Regions from separate parts of the Mus musculus genome. Here region 1 is reported to be linked to region 2. The links are microRNA targets in miRTarBase. Many come from high-throughput screens and were not tested one by one. Region 2 holds a microRNA gene; the other region holds the end of a gene's coding sequence.

Region 1 (7,300 bases), not on the chromosome of region 2:
GTTGGGAGGGAGTGTCATTTAAATTTTTCTCTAGGTTTCTTTCTCTCTGTGGGTGTGCCATGACACATATTTGCAGTCCAGAATCCTTTTGTTGTTGTTGTTGTTGTTGTTGTTACTTTTTTTTAATTTAGTACATGAGTATTTTGCCTGGATGCATATCTGTGCACCATGTGTGTGCAGTGCTCACAGAGGACAGAAGAGGGCACCAGATCCCCAGGAACTGGAGTTACAGGGTTTTTGTGGTTTTTTGTTTTGTTTTGTTTTTGTTTTTTGAGACTGCATCTGTGGGGATCCCTGCAAACTCTGCAACCTGCAGCAATATAATCCTGGGAGAGACGGGAGTGGAACTCGGTTCAGCCCAACTCAGCCAGTGCTAGGTCAGACTTCCGGAGTCTCACACCAGGTGCTTTCATTTAGTCATATTTACGCGCTGTACAATTTTGGAAAAGTTTCCTGAAGACAGTTAACTCAGTCCCTAGTGTAAAACAAGGCTTAAGAAGCATTTACATGGGGGGGCTGGTGAGATGGCTCAGCAGTTAAGATCGCCGACTGTCCTTCCAAAGGTCCTGAGTTCAAATCCCAGCAACCACATGGTGGTTCACAACCATCTGCAATGAGATCTGATGCCCTCTTCTGGTGTGTCTGAAGACAGCTACAATGTACCTAGATATAATAATAAATAACTCTAAAAAAAAAAAGTATTTACAGTGTAACTCTGTACAAAGTCCATATGCTTCTCCCATAGAGATGGGTTCTGCTGACTTAGAAACAATGCCCTAGATAAGGCTCTAGGAGAAGGTCTGAGGGAGTCAGGGTTGGCCCAGCCCTAAGAGAATTTAGAAGTCACTTAGCTGTGAAGTGACATCTCAGAGGTGGATTTTATGGAGTGAGAAGCAATGCTTAAGATTTTGGGGGTAGCCTGGAATAAACAAAAGTAATATTCCGGGGTATTCAGGTGATGCCTGGCCCTACAGATTACAAAACATCACCAGACTGTAACCTGCACCCTTTTCGCATTTCAGATGGAAGACAGGTAAACATGTCCTTCCTTTGAAGAGAGGAGTATTCATGTTTTAACCATTCCTGGTTCCCTAGTACTTATCTGTATGCAACGTACGTCCTCTATAGCATCTCAGCCTTGCCCTGGGCTGGCCTTGAACTCAGTATGTAGTTGAGTATTATTACCTTGAACTTCGATTGTCCTGCCTCCCCTTCCTGAGTGTTGGGATCATAGACATATAATCCACATGCCTAGTTTTTAAAAACTGAATGTTTGGGGCCAGAAAGAAGGCTCAGTAGTTAAGAGCACTGGCTGCTCTACCAGAGAACACAGATTTGGTGACCAGCACTCATGTGGCAGCTCACAACTGTTCATTAACTCCAGTTTCAGGGCATCCAATTCCCTCTTGTGGCCTCCGTAGGCACCAGGCCCATGCAGATATACATACAAGTAAAACACTCATGTGCGTAAAGTGAAAATCAGTAAGATGGTTTTGGTTTTTTGGTTGGTTGGTTTTGGTTTTTTTGATTCAGGGTTTCTCTGTGTAGCCCTGGCTGTCCTGGAACTCACTCTGTAGACCAGGCTGGCCTCGAACTCAGAAATCCGCCTGCCTCTGCCTCCCAAGTGCTGGGATTAAAAGCACGTGCCACCACTGCCCGGCAGTAAAATGTTTAAAAATTCATCTTTAGTAGATTTTGGAAAGCGGGAAGGCTAGTGTTTCATTCAATGATTAACGAATTAGAAACAGCAAGTAACATGTTAAGTCATAAATGGAGTATGGATTTGTTGTGATCTGTTGTATTCCAAATCCTTATGTTTTTTTAATATGGTTTATTCTAAGAGAGTTTTGTCTGCAAATAGTTTGCTATCATTAAAGTTGAATTCAAAACACTGAGGTCATTGAGGAATTCATTTATAGTACCCCTTCAGGTGCCATCTATAGTACCCCTTTAGGTGCCAACACAGTAAGCTCAAACCTTCCCTTTGAGTATGCTTTAGAAGTGGGAGTGGGGGTAGGGCATGATTCGGCCCTTCGTAAAGGACCACCTGACTGAGCTGAGAGCAGCTCAGGCTCAGGGGTGTCCATGAGATGAGGAGCTGATGTCTGCCCAGGCGCTCATGCGTTTCATTGAACCGTTCTCTCAGGTACGATGAGATGAGTGTCCTCTTCTCAGTTCTGGTCACTGAGACTACGCTGGAAAATGGGCTAATCCAGCTGCGGAGCAGAGACACCACGATGAAGGAAATGATGCACATATCCAAGCTGAGAGACTTCCTGGTCAAGTACCTAGCGTCAGCTAGCAATGTGTAGGTCTTCATATTCTCTAATAAATATTCTCTGTTGAGTTCATTCGCTTACATTAATACAGTTTTGGACTTTTGTATTTATAAAGTAGATATTTGATTCATTTTTTATTGTCCTTTTGATATGGTCTGTAGTGGTTTGAATATGGCCCCACGGAGTTTCACTATTTGGAGGTGTGGCCTTGGAGTACGTGTGTCACTGTGGGTGTGGGCTTTAAGATACCTGCCTGGACACTGCCATGCTCTTGCCTTGATGATACTGGACTGAACCTCTGAACCTGAAAGCCAGACCCAGTTAAATGTTGCCCTTTATGAGAGTTGCCTTGGTCATGGTGTCTGTTCACAGCAGTAAAACCCTAACTAAAGACATGGTTTATTAAGAACACAAAACTAGCCAGGCATAGTGGTATGCACCTTTCTTCCCAGCACTCGGGTGACAGCGGCAGGCAGATCTCTGAGTTTGAGGCCAGTCTGGTTTACAGAGTGAGTTCCAGGACAGCCAGGGTTACACAGAGAAACCATGTCTTAAAAAAGAAAAAGAAAATCTCTCCAACTCCAATTTATTTAATTATGTGTTTAGGTGTGTCTGTGCACATGAGTGTAGTGCCTGCAGATGCCAGAAGAGGGCGATGGATCCTTTGGAAACAATGTTATTGGCAGCTTGAGTTGTGGGATGTAGACTCTGGACTCAAACTCCCATCCTTTGGAAGAGTAGTGTCTGCTCTTTTTTTTTTTTTTTTTTTTAGATTTATTTATTATTATACATAAATACACTGTAGCTGTCTTCAGATGCGCCAGAAGAGGGCATCAGATCTTATTATGGTTGGTTGTGAGCCACCATGTGGTTGCTGGGATTTGAACTCAGGACCTTGATGGAAGAACAGTCCGTGCTCTTACCCACAGAGCCATCTCACCAGCCCTAGTGTCTGCTCTTAACTGCTGAACCACCTCCTCGGCCCCAAGATAATTGTGTTGGGAAGGGAGAAGGTGGAAGGCCACAAAACCTAAGTATGTTTTAACTCTTATCAAGCCTGGCTACTTGGATAACAAGATTAGTGCCCAAATTAGCCAAAGAAATAGTGTCCAGATGTGTAAAATACACTCACTATAGGTGACCAGGTTAAATCTTTTTTTGATTTTGTGTTTTAAGACAAGGTCTTGCTATGTAGTCCCAGCTGGCCTCAAACTCAGGATCCTCCTGCCTCAGCCTAGAATGGAACTCTTAAGTGCCAGGTGAGTTTCCTATTTTCTCATACACAGCTTACTGGAAAGTCTTTACACTGGGATACAGTCAGTTTCTTCACACTTCAGTGGGTGAGTTCAGAGTAGATGTAATCAGCTTTTCCATCCGTACCACCTTCTGAAATTGAAGAGAGACAATAACTCAGTAAGCTACAGCCATGAGTTCATAGAAACTCTTAAAAAGAACGCCCTTCTCGGGTGTGTTGGCTTAGGGGCCAACAGCACTGGCCACCAAGCTTGATGACATCAGTTCTATGCCAGGGCTCCACACGGAGGAAGGAGAGAGCTGTCTCCTCCAGCTTGTCCTGACTTCCTGCACATACCATGGCATATGCTGGCCCATACACAAGAAGTAAATATAATAGATTAGTTTTATTTAAAATCCCCATTTCTAGATGGGCAACCTGAAAGAAGCAAGTATTAACTGGTCTTTTCCAGTTTAATAACAATTTATTCTGTGTGTGTGTGTGTGTGTGTGTGTGTGTGTGTGGTGTATATGGGGGGTCATGAAGGCCATAGGAGGCCATTACATTTCCCGTCCTATCACTTCCTACCTTATTCTCCTGAGATAGGGTCTTTCACTAAACCTGAAGCTAGGCTGGATGCCAGTGAGCCCCAGAAGTCTCTGCATCTCTGCATCTCACAGGCCCAAGCACAGCTTTTTGCATAAGAGATCAGGATTCAAACTCAAATCCTCACACAAGTGAGGTAGGTAAGTGCTCTTAGCCCCAGAGCCATCTCCCCAGCACTGATTTCTTCCTGAAAATGTTTTAGTAGTGACCCTGTGTCCTCTATTGGGAACTTCTTTTGGGGGAGGGGGGCATTGTTGAGTTGTTGAGGTTCTATTTAATCTGTTTGTTTGTTTGTGTTTTCAAAACAGGGTTTCTCTGGGTAGCTCTGGCTGTCCTGGAACTCACTCTGTAGACCAGGCTAGCCTCAAACTTACAGAGATCTGCTTGCCTCTGACTCCCAGAGTGTTGGGATTAAAGGTGTGTTCCACCACCACCTTTCTGAGTTGAAGACCAGCCTGGTCTATCAGAGCTACACATAGAAAACCCTGCCTTGAAAAACCCAGAAGAGGGCTGGAGAGATGGCTCAGAGGTTAAGAGCACTGACTACTCTTCCAGAGGTCCTGAGTTCAATTCCCAGCAACCACATGGTGGCTCACAACCATCTGTAATGATATCCTGTGCCCTCTTCTGGTGTGTCTGAAGACAGCTACAGTGTACGCATATAAATAAATCTAATATAGATAGATAGATAGATAGTCTAATATATATATATATATATAGAGAGAGAGAGAGAGAGAGAGAGAGAATGAATGAGAGATATCCCAGAAGAAAAAAGGAGATTTTATTTTAATTTTAACTAATGGGGGTGTGGCAGTATGTACATGTGAACATAAGTACCCGTGGAGACCAGAAGCACAGATATCTCTGGTGCTGAAGTAGCAATGGGTCCTAAGCCACTGGATATGAGTGCTGGGATGTGAACTCGGGTCCTCTGGAGCACAGTACACGCTCATAAATGCAAAGCCATTTCTCCAGCCTGTCTTGGAAGTATTTAGAGGATAGCCCCTACCCTGCTTTCCCTACACGCACTTCTACAGCTGTCACTGTGATTATATTAAAGTTACATTAATTACATTAGTAGGAGTTGTGATTGGTTAGTGTTGATTTGTTGGGAGCCTGGAGTCCGCAAACCCCTCTTTAGATACAAAGCCCCTGTTCACAGTGATGTCTCGGGGACTCATTGCTACAGCATCTCTTGTCCTATCACCACTCACCTTCTTCCATGGGTGCCATCTCCTTGAAGACTGGAGTGGCATAGTGTATCTCCTGGGGTTGCTCTGCAAAAGATAGGGCATAAGTGTTACTGGGCCAGAGCTTGGATCCTCTGTCCATGGGAGGGCAGTGGTGTGGGGCCTAGACCAAGCACTTCCCCACTGGGGTTGTGGAAACACATTGTCACTCCCAGCCCCGACCCAGGCTCCTCCTTGGCAAGAAGGGAACACCAGAAACTGGGAGCTGGTGCTGGTGTATCAGGGCTTACACAGTGCTCAAAACGTACAAAGGGCTCTGAGGGGCTGATTAAATTGGAGGCCTTTGTTAGCTGGGCCTTTCCACCATGAAGCATCCGACATACAATGTCTGCTTTGATAAGTGACTAAATAGTGTACAGTTGGGTGACTCTAGCTAATACTGCAGCCCTGTAAAGCGCTAAGGAAGCAGTTTTATCTCGTTTTCTCTAGCACTTGACTGGCACGGGTGGCGCCCTTGGGTTTGATCCCAAGCATTGTAAAAGACAAACCAGCAAACAAGAATGAGATGTGCTCGATTCTGCAGCATGCAGACTAAAATAGAAAGACGCACAGAGAAGGTTTTCATGGCCTCTATGCAAAGATGACACACAAATTAAGTCCCATTGGTAATCCTAGGACCTGGGAGGATTGTTAGGAGTTTGAGATCATCCTGGGCTACACAGTGAGTACAAAGCTGACCTAGGCTAGATGCTAATACAGTTTTCATTTGTTGTCAAGACTGATATTTTTAAAGAGCAGTTTGTTGGATGTAGTATCATAGTCCGGTGATCCCAGCACTCAAGAGGCTGAGGCAGGAGGGTAACAAGTTCGAAGCTAGTCTGGGCTACTTGGCATGACTCTGAAAAGAAAACAAATGAACAACATAAACTTCTTTAAACAATGATCACAAGAGACTGGGATAGAGCGTGGGTCATCCCAAACTGAAAGAAAGTCATCTCTAAAATATATCACCTGAAAAAAAAAATATCAAAGGATAGAATGGAAAATCACCCATCTGGGAGGGGCTCTGAACACTGGCCGAAGACCCTGGGAGACGGGAGGCAGAGGTGGGAAGCTGATATGGTTATTATTTTGCTTCCTTTTTTAAAAAATAGCCTGTGTCTCTGGAGAATTATTTTATTTTTATTTCATTTTATTTTAAATAAGCAGCGCTGTGTAGAGTACTTATCTAGCATGTGTGGACACCTTGGGGTCAAGAACCAGTGCCATGGCATATATACACGTGTATACACACCTGTGTATACAGTCACCCCCAGACCAAACAACCAGACTGCTCAAAACAGCCAGCAAAGCCCTTTACCTGTCTGAGTCTTGCAGGCGTTGACATACAGCTCGTCCTGTGCAGGCGCATCTCCAGAACCCTTGGACTGGTCCTCTCTCTGAGTCTTCTTTCCTGCTCCCCCACAAAGCAAGACATAATCATTAGGTTGAACTATCTAGACATGTTTTTCCTTTCTTCTCTGCCAAGGGGAAGAATCTCTCATGATTCTAAGTGACATGCCAGTGGCTTCAACTAATGGCGGGGGGGGGGGGGATCACAGGTTTCTATATAGCACAGAGTCATCTGGATCAGGGTCCTCCCGACCAGGCCCTGGGAGGAAATGGAGTAGAGAGCCTTGAGTTATCTTCAAGAGATGAGCAATACAACTAACTTCTATGTTGGCAGGAATCAAAAATTTTTTTTTTGGTTGATTGGTTGGTTTCATTTTTCTGAGACAGGGTTTCTCTGTGTAGCCCTGACTGTCCCGAAACTCACTTAGTATACAAGGCTGGCCTTGAACTCTCAAAGGTCTGCCTGCCTCTGCCTCCCAAATGCTGGGATCAGCAGCATGTTCCACCAAACATCTTCATGGCACTTGGGCAAAAACTCAGGGTGATTTCATTGTTGAGATGTTTGAGAAGCTGGGTTAAGTAGGGTGTCTGTTTTCAAG
Region 2 (8,002 bases):
GGGACAGCTGCAGTATGGGGAGTCAGGCTTCGTAGGACACCTCCCAACCCCCGTATAAGGGTCACAGTAGGTTCGAGAAGGGCCTGAGCACCATGGATATACCCTCATAAGTGGCATCCCCCTGCCTCCTCAGAAAGCATGTCCCGGACTGACAGCCCATCCAAGATCATCAAACTGGACACAGTGCGGGTGATCGCAGAGAGGGTAAGCACGGGGATGGGGAAGCGCCATGTTCTGTGTCCCAGCTTCACCCTGAGTTACCTCCAGGGAGCTGGGTGCTGGGGGCTCCTGAGGGACTCAGGTCCACACCCCTGAGCCTGCACTCCGGATGCTGACTGTCGTGAGCCTAAAACTAAGCTACACAGAGAGACCTGTCTCAAAGGGACAAAAAAGTAAAAAGTGACACAAGACCACTCAGCTGTGGAGGTGGCCGAGTACATTTGTAATCCCAGCTCCCTCGATGCTGAGGCAGGGGGATTCCTGGGATTCCCAAAGATCTGGCCAATAGATGAGACCCAGGATCAGACACAAAACTGGCCGTGAGAAGCTGTGGTCCGCTGTTACCACAGACACTCCGTCTGTCTTAGGATAAGCACGCACTCCTGGATGTCACCCCCTCTGCCATCGAGCGCCTCAACTACGTGCAGTACTACCCCATCGTCATCTTTTGTGCCCCAGAGAGCCGGCCGGCCCTCAAGGCCCTCCGGGAGTGGCTGGCCCCGGCCTCTCGCCGCAGCAGCCGCCGCCTGTATGCGCAGGCCCAGAAACTGCAGAAACACAGTGGCCACCTCTTCACCGGTGCGCAGGGGTGGGGATGGGGGCTCTGGTGGGGGCGGTAGTTCCTGCCTGCTGACTTAGCTCTGTCTCTCCTTCTGCACCCCCTCACCCCCGCAGCCACCATCCCCCTGCATGGCACTAGTGACTCCTGGTACCAGGAAGTCAAGGCTGTAATACAGCAACAGCAGGCGCGACCGATCTGGACCGCGGAGGACCAGGTGCTTGGTAGAGGGAGGCCATAGCCATAGCCCAGGTGAACCCCATAGGCATCCACACTGTGGCGTCCTAGTACCCAGTAGCCAATATAGTACCAAAGGAGTCCTTAGGGAAGAAAGCCTAAAGGGGTGGATAATGGGGCTGGGAGTTTGTGGAGTGCTTAGGAGTTGGTCAGAGTTGAAGGCCTCGATCTCAGATTTGGGACTTGACTTAGAATCCAGAAGCACTCGTCACAGGTCCATGGGTGACTAGAGGCTGGCATTCAGAGTATGGACCTCGGCTTCCCTTGAGATTACAATATACCCGTCCCCACAGCTGAACAGCTCATCCGAGGACCTTGACCTGCCGGGCCATGGTCTGGCCGCCAGCTCTGGAGACCTCAGCTGTGACAGTCGGACCAACAGCGACTATGAGGACACCGACGGCGAGGGCGCCTATACGGACAGAGAGGGCGGACCCCAGGATGTCGATGAGGAGGTCGCACCCACAGCCCTGGCCCGGTCCTCAGAGCCCGTATGGGTAGATGATCACCAGGGGCTGATGGGTCATGGGACAACTATCACAGACAAATGGGAGACACAGGTGGGTACTTGGCCCTGCAGGATAGGAGGACATAATCACACCCCCGACTCCCAGTACAATGCCCTCCACGCATGTCAGTTGGGGTCACTGCCTTTCTCCTTTCCCAGGCTGACAGCCACTACACCCAGGACCAGCGGCGCCAGGACAGCATGCGGTAGGTGCCCAGGAAGGATGCAGGCCTGAGAGCTTTTGCTGGGCCACTCCACACTCCACATGGTTGAGGGCTTCCTGAAGGAATGGGTGATGGGGCTGGGCTTTGTAGGATATGAAGGAGTTTCAAGTCCCAACCCACATTTAAATACCCGGCCTTGCTCATCCCTGTGCCCACCCTGCCGGGTGGGGTCAGTGCGGGTGGGTGAGGTCACACAGCACACCCAGCCACCAAGGCCCAGCACCTGCCTCCTGTCCCCCAGGACCTACAAGCACGAGGCCCTGAGGAAGAAGTTCACAAGAGCCCGGGATGTGGAATCCTCTGATGACGAGGGCTATGACTGGGGCCCAGCCACCGACCTGTGACCTATGCAGTCACCAGCGTGCCACAAGCCCTCAAGCTTCTGACCACTTAATAAATCTTTAAAAAAAATTTTTTATATTAGAAAATAATACAAGACTGAGGACTCTTTGGTCCCTGCCAGTGAAGGAGTGACGGTGGCAGGGATGAAGGCACACATGGGTGGGGCAGTCATAGGTATACTGGTTGTTCCTGTCCCGTGAGCAGTCGGTAGGTGGCAGCTGGCATGGTCTTGATGTGGATCTAGGGGTCAGAGATGAAGAGTCAGGTAGACGGGGTTGGTTTGGGTAGGACAGGATCAGGGGTGACGGGGTCAGGTGACTCCCACGCACTTCTCTTGTCTCTGTGAGCAGCTGGATGATGCGCGCATGGGGCATAGCCACCACGCTCTGCCCGTTGACCTCAATGATGCGGTGTCCAACGCGGACTCCACCACGCTCAGCAGCGCCCCCACGCAGCAGGCTACAAATCTGAGGGGGGACAACTCTCAGGACCTGCCCCTAGGCTATAGGCTAGCCTCCACTCCCTAGGCTGTATGCTAGCCCATTCCCCACACCCGGCCTAGGGGGGGGGGGTTCCCAGCCTCACGATTCCATCCTCCACACAGAAGCCCAGCTGCTCGCGCACGTGGGGCCGGCGGATGACGGCCGTGGTGACCGGTGGGCAGTGGATAATACTCAGCGTCACGGATGAAAGTCGCCGCACCTCCTGGGGGGACCCACCATGCTGCTCAGGCCTCTGCGGGCATCAGTTTACCCACCCGTCAATCTCCCAGGCAACATGGGGATGCAATCAGTGGTACCATACAGTCACTTAACTTAGGAGACCCTGTTAATGGGCTCCTATGCACCCTACAAGGCCCCTGGGAACCCCGCCCACAGAACTTTGACTCACGCGCACCGCAGCCTGGCAGGCAGCCAGCGACAGCCCCACCAGGCTGGTTCCATTGATGGCAGTGACGCGGTCCCCTATGCTCAGGGCCCCGCAGCGCTCGGCAGGGCCCCCATGGAGCAGGTTGGCAATGACCGCAGTGGGCAGTAGCGAGCCCCAGCCTGATTCAACTAGCGCGACGCCCAGGCCTTCACCTGGCCGCTTCTGGATGCAAACCTGGGAGCAGAACCAAGTTCAGGGGGCAGGGTGTGGGGTGGGGTCCCAGGAGGGGCAGGACCACATTCAGGGGCAGTGTGGGAGAAGCTGCACTTAGAGATAGAGCAGGCAGAGCCAAGCCAGGTGTAGGGAGGGCTCAACTTCGGGGAGGGGGGCAGGGTCCCATTCAGGGGAAGTGTGGGATCAGGCCCAATGCGGGTGTGCTCAGGGAGGGGGTGGGGTCTCAAAGGGGGCGGGGCCGTGTCCAGGGAGTATGGGGCCAGGTCTCGGTGGGGTGGGCTCAGCAGGCCAGGGGATAGGTCCATGGTCCCTTGGGTGGCTCTGTGTGTGCTGTGGCAGAGCAAGCACTCACCTCCCTACAGTTCTGGCTGTTGCAGAAGTGGTCCAGGTCGCCGTTGTGCGGGTGGCTGGCAGCGGTTGAGGGCTGCGTGCCCACCTGGCTGGGGTCGATCCTGTTCTCCTGTAGGAACTGGCTGTAGGCGATGCTGAAGGCCTGGCCGATGGCTTGTGCTATGAGCTGGGCCTGTGGGAGGACAATATACTCCTAATCCATCCCGCAGAATCTCAGCTCCAATGCACACACCTTCAGGACACCTCAAGGTTTCTAAGTCAAGGGTTCTTAGATGCTCTGGAGGGGGCGTAGCTCACGGCTGCTCACATCCTCTGAGTGGAAGACATGGCACAGCATCTTGTAGAGTCGCCGCTGGCGGTCCTGGGGAGTTGTCCTCCTGGCCAGCCGCCTCCGGGCCATCAAGACCAGTACAGGCCCAATGTCTGCGATGTAGGAGATGGTCTGCAGGGCATGGTCCATCAGGGCATCCTGTGGACATGCGCTGGGTGGGCTGGGGGCCTCTCAGGAACCCCAAGTGTCCACGACAGTCAAGGCCCAGCCCTCTGGGTACCTGGGAGTCAGCAGCCAACACTTTGACACGCTTGGTGGAGATAAAGATGTCCACTTCCACCATGGGCTGGGTCTCGCCTTCAGGGGCCTGCAGGGTAGGAAGGGGACACAGAAGTTAGAGGTGGTTGGGACATGGAATCCAACAGCCCAGGAACTCCACCCTGGCTCACCTTGACGCGGTCCATGGCCTCCTGCGCCTGCCCCATGCGTGTGCTGGGCGCCGGGCTGCGCTCTGACAGCAGCTGGGTGGAGCCCAGGTATTTCGCCCCGAAGATGACACCATCCATGAGCTCCTCCGGCCCACAGGGACCTGGGACTGCAGATGACAGTGAGGGGTGCGACCTCTACAGGCTCTGAGGTCCCCAATCCCTGAGCTGTTGCTCAAGAAACTCATGGTTCTGTCCACGGCTTAGCATGCACAAGATCCTGTACTAGAAGACTCCAGAGGCTCAGTGTGCGGTGGCCAGCTCTGTACCTGCCACTTTCAGGGATCCTAAGAAGTGTCACCCCTACTATGAGGCACCCTCAGGAGGAATGGACCCAAAACAGGTTGCAGGGCTCAAAGACCCCTCTTCCAGAACCTTCTGACCAAGAGTCAGAGCTCAGGGCCTCACGGTGGTGTCGTGAGTCCCTAACATTCTGGAATCAGGCAGGGCAGGGCCAGCAATTTAGCTCAATGGGTAAAGGCATTTTCAGCCAAGTAAGATACCCTGAGTTTGATCCCTGGGATACCACAAGGTGGGCAGAGAACTAACTCCCACAAGTGATCCTCTGCCATATTCGATAAATGCAAAAAAAAAAGACAGAAGATCAAGGCCGGGCGTGGTGGCACACGCCTTTAATCCCAGCACTTGGGAGGCAGAGGCAGGCGGATCTCTGAGTTCAAGGCCAGCCTGGTCTACAGAGTGAGTTCCAGGACAGCCAGGGCTACACAGAGAAACCAAAAATAACCAAAAGAAAAAGAAATAAGATAAAAATCCATGATGATCTAGAATTCTCTTCAGTCAGCCTGGAGCGTCTCAAAGTCTGGGTCCTCGATAGCCCTGAAACAATCCCACCCATGAATATTTATTTATTTATTTATTGTTTTTTTTCGAGACAGGGTTTCTCTGTATAGCCCTGGCTGTCCTGGAACTCTCTCTGTAGACCAGGCTGGCCTCAAACTAAGAAATCCTCCTGCCTCTGCCTCCCAGGTGCTGGGATTAAAGGCGTGTACCACCACTGCTTGGCTTTTTTTAAAAAGATATATACATATATATGCATATATATATGTATTATATATATAATAATAAGTAAGTACACTGTAGCTGTCTTCAGACACACCAGAAGAGGGATTCAGATCTCATTACTGGTGGTTGTGAGCCACCATGTGGTTGCTGGGATTTGAACTCAGGACCTTTGGAAGAGCAGTCAGTGCTCTTACCCACTGAGCCATCTCGCCAGCCCTGTAAATGCCATCTTTAGCTCTCAAAACTCCCCAGAGCAGCCTGGAGCTATCCTCTGTCAACCAGTGTGCTAAACCAGCATGGCTTCTAGAACATTCTACAGCTTATGTCACCTCTTTGGCCGTCTAAGATCTGCTCTCATTCAGTCCTCTCTAGACCTTGATCATCACTGGCAAACTTTGTGTCATTACTTGAGAGCCCATTTTTGGGCTGTTCTAGGACATTCTGATTTCTGTGTAAAAATGGACACTCACCCTCGGTGACGGCAGGGCACGAGGCCAGGGTCTCCCGGCTCTGGAAGATAAGAGGTGCAGGGCTGAGTCCCCAGTCATGGCTGAGGGTCAGAAGTCAGAGGTCAGAGAGGCGAGCACTATTACCTGGGTACCCACAGGTGGTTCCTGCTGTGTCACCAGGGGTGCTGTCTCCAGCCAGGGCTCCGGGGAACTGCTGGAGCTCCTGCTGTCTGCTGGCTCTGCTGATGCCCCTTCCATCCATCCCGGGTCCCCATCAGGGTCCTCTGGCGGCTGCAGAAGGCGGGGTGCAGTCTGTGCAGGATCTTGGGGGACAGATTGGGCAGGCGAAGAGGCCTCATCCCTCAGCAGACCCAGAAGGTCGTCCCCGCCTGCCTCGGCCGACAAGAGCCCACCAGCATCTGGGTTCTCCTGGGTGGCAAGTCCTTGGCCGGTAGCAATGTGCAGGGGACAGGGGGCTCCATCTGGGAATGGGCCACCCAGGTCGCTGGGTAGAGCTTCTAGCTGCTGAACCAGCTCCTGCACACTGGATGTGTCCAGCTCCATCTCACTCAGGGTGACAGGGCCTCCAGGCCCTAAGGCCGACTGGGTGTTAGAGGGGTGGTTCTCAGAGGGCACCTCGGGGCCTTTGGGCTCCTCCAAGTCCATGGTTGGGGGCCCTGGGGGATGCTGGGGTCCTGGCAGGAACTCCATGTCTGAGACCCAGGTTCAGGCCGGCATTGTCACCAAGCTGGAAGATGAGGGCTCTGAGTGTGGATCTCGTAGGCAAGCCATGGTCCTACAGGTGACAGATTCCATCCCCATGGGGCCTGCCCAGGAGGAAAGGACCCCATTTTACACAGAAGCCAGCAAAGAACTCAGGTGCCTGCCCCAGATCTCAGGCTCCAGACCTCAGAACTCAAGCAACAGACACTAGAACTGAGGCTGCGGCTATGGAACTCAGGCATTGCCCCTGGGAACTCAAGCACTGCCCCCGGGAACTCAGGCTTCTGTCTCTAGAACTCAGGCTCTGGTCTCAAAAACCCAGGCTCCGGACCCTAGAACTCAGGCTCCAGCCCCAAAACTCAGGCTTTAGGTCGTGGAACTCAGGCTGTTGCCCCAGAATTCAGGCACTGGTCCTGAGAACTCAGCCTCTAGCCCCTAGAACTCAGGCTCTGACCCTTGAAACTCAGGCTCCGTCCCCAGAACTCAGATTTCAGTCTCAGAACTCAGACACTGCCCTTGGGTCACCCACGGGAGCCTGTCCAGTCCCGCACGGCCCGCAGTACCTGTGTCTCCGGCCCGGGCAGGATTGTCCGGACGGTCCGCCCGTCCTTCCAGAAGAGTCAGCAGCTCTCTGGGATCCCAGCTTTGGAACCGGATCATCGGTCACTGCACCATCCAGGACTATTGCGCATACACACTCTCAAACGGCCTGCTGGGAAATGTAGTCCTCGAGTCCGCTCTCTCTCCTTCCGGGGACTCGCCAGTGTTGCAGTATAGATAGTAGAGCTCAGGTTCGAATCCCGAGACTACAAGAACGGAGGCGAGGCTCAAACTGGCTTTTCTTTTCTAAAATCGGGTTCTGCATCACTTCAGAGTGTAACGGCTGAGGTAGGACATGGGCAGAAACCAGGGATGGTAAAGAGAGCCATGACTTGAAAATTTGGAGTGCAAAGGAAAAGTGGGAATGGAAGTTATTGAGGACGGACTTCCACTTTGTATCCCAGTAAGGATCTATAACGGTACAATCTAGACTTGAGTTGACACTGGAATTTGCATCACGGTCCTACATATAGATTAGGGACAATGATAATTCCTAAACTTAACTGTGTGATCTAAAAAGAGTTCACCTGGTTAGGTTTGTTAGCAATGAGTCTAGAAGATTCTAGTACTAGTCTATTTATTCTTGAGAGTCTCATGTAGCCTAGGCTGGCTTCAAACTCCTGATCCTCCTGCCTCAGCTTCCTGTGTGCATCCAGCCTCCATTTCTGCTACGAAGCCCCAATCACCAAACCCCACTTTTTTCTATTAGTGAATAGAACACATACGTATCACTATGTAGAGTAGGCTGGCCAGGAACTCACAGGCATCTACCTACCTCTGCCTCCCAAGTGTGGGGATTAAGCTGGGGTTCATCACTCCCATCATTCTCAGCTACCCATATGTTTAAGCCAAGATCTCATATAGCCAAGGCTGACCTCAAACTTGCTGTGTAGGACAGATCGACCCA

Evidence for each region. Region 2 holds the annotated microRNA mmu-miR-3057-3p (UCCCACAGGCCCAGCUCAUAGC, at 3,703-3,724, opposite strand). A microRNA usually pairs through its seed, bases 2 to 8, with sites in the 3' UTR of a target mRNA and lowers its output. Matches are read on the target gene's strand: a 7mer-m8 pairs with bases 2 to 8, a 7mer-A1 pairs with bases 2 to 7 and ends in A, and an 8mer does both.
Region 1: the mRNA of Milr1 is a reported target of mmu-miR-3057-3p. Seed matches in the 3' UTR shown: 7mer-m8 at 3,202-3,208.

What each region holds. Positions count from the first base shown.
Region 1 is chr11:106,763,318-106,770,617 of GRCm38, reverse strand. It overlaps Milr1 (mast cell immunoglobulin like receptor 1), which reads right to left. Exons shown (of 7, transcript NM_001033435.3): 5 at 6,670-6,762; 6 at 5,334-5,396; 7 at 2,853-3,665. The coding sequence ends at 3,613. Polg2 (polymerase (DNA directed), gamma 2, accessory subunit) reads left to right here. Exons shown (of 8, transcript NM_015810.2): 8 at 2,147-2,414. The coding sequence ends at 2,312. Among named protein-coding and RNA genes, the nearest start is that of Polg2, 13 kb to the left of the region's middle.
Region 2 is chr10:81,267,376-81,275,377 of GRCm38, reverse strand. Mir3057 (microRNA 3057) reads right to left here and starts at 3,781; the gene lies at 3,691-3,781. It overlaps Apba3 (amyloid beta (A4) precursor protein-binding, family A, member 3), which reads right to left and starts at 7,206. Exons shown (of 11, transcript NM_018758.2): 1 at 7,059-7,206; 2 at 5,917-6,599; 3 at 5,794-5,833; 4 at 4,265-4,410; 5 at 4,096-4,182; 6 at 3,852-4,013; 7 at 3,546-3,716; 8 at 2,981-3,193; 9 at 2,675-2,794; 10 at 2,419-2,556; 11 at 2,131-2,329. The coding sequence starts at 6,483. The coding sequence ends at 2,258. Tjp3 (tight junction protein 3) reads left to right here. Exons shown (of 21, transcript NM_013769.3): 16 at 134-204; 17 at 588-798; 18 at 895-995; 19 at 1,309-1,575; 20 at 1,683-1,729; 21 at 1,989-2,190. The coding sequence ends at 2,091.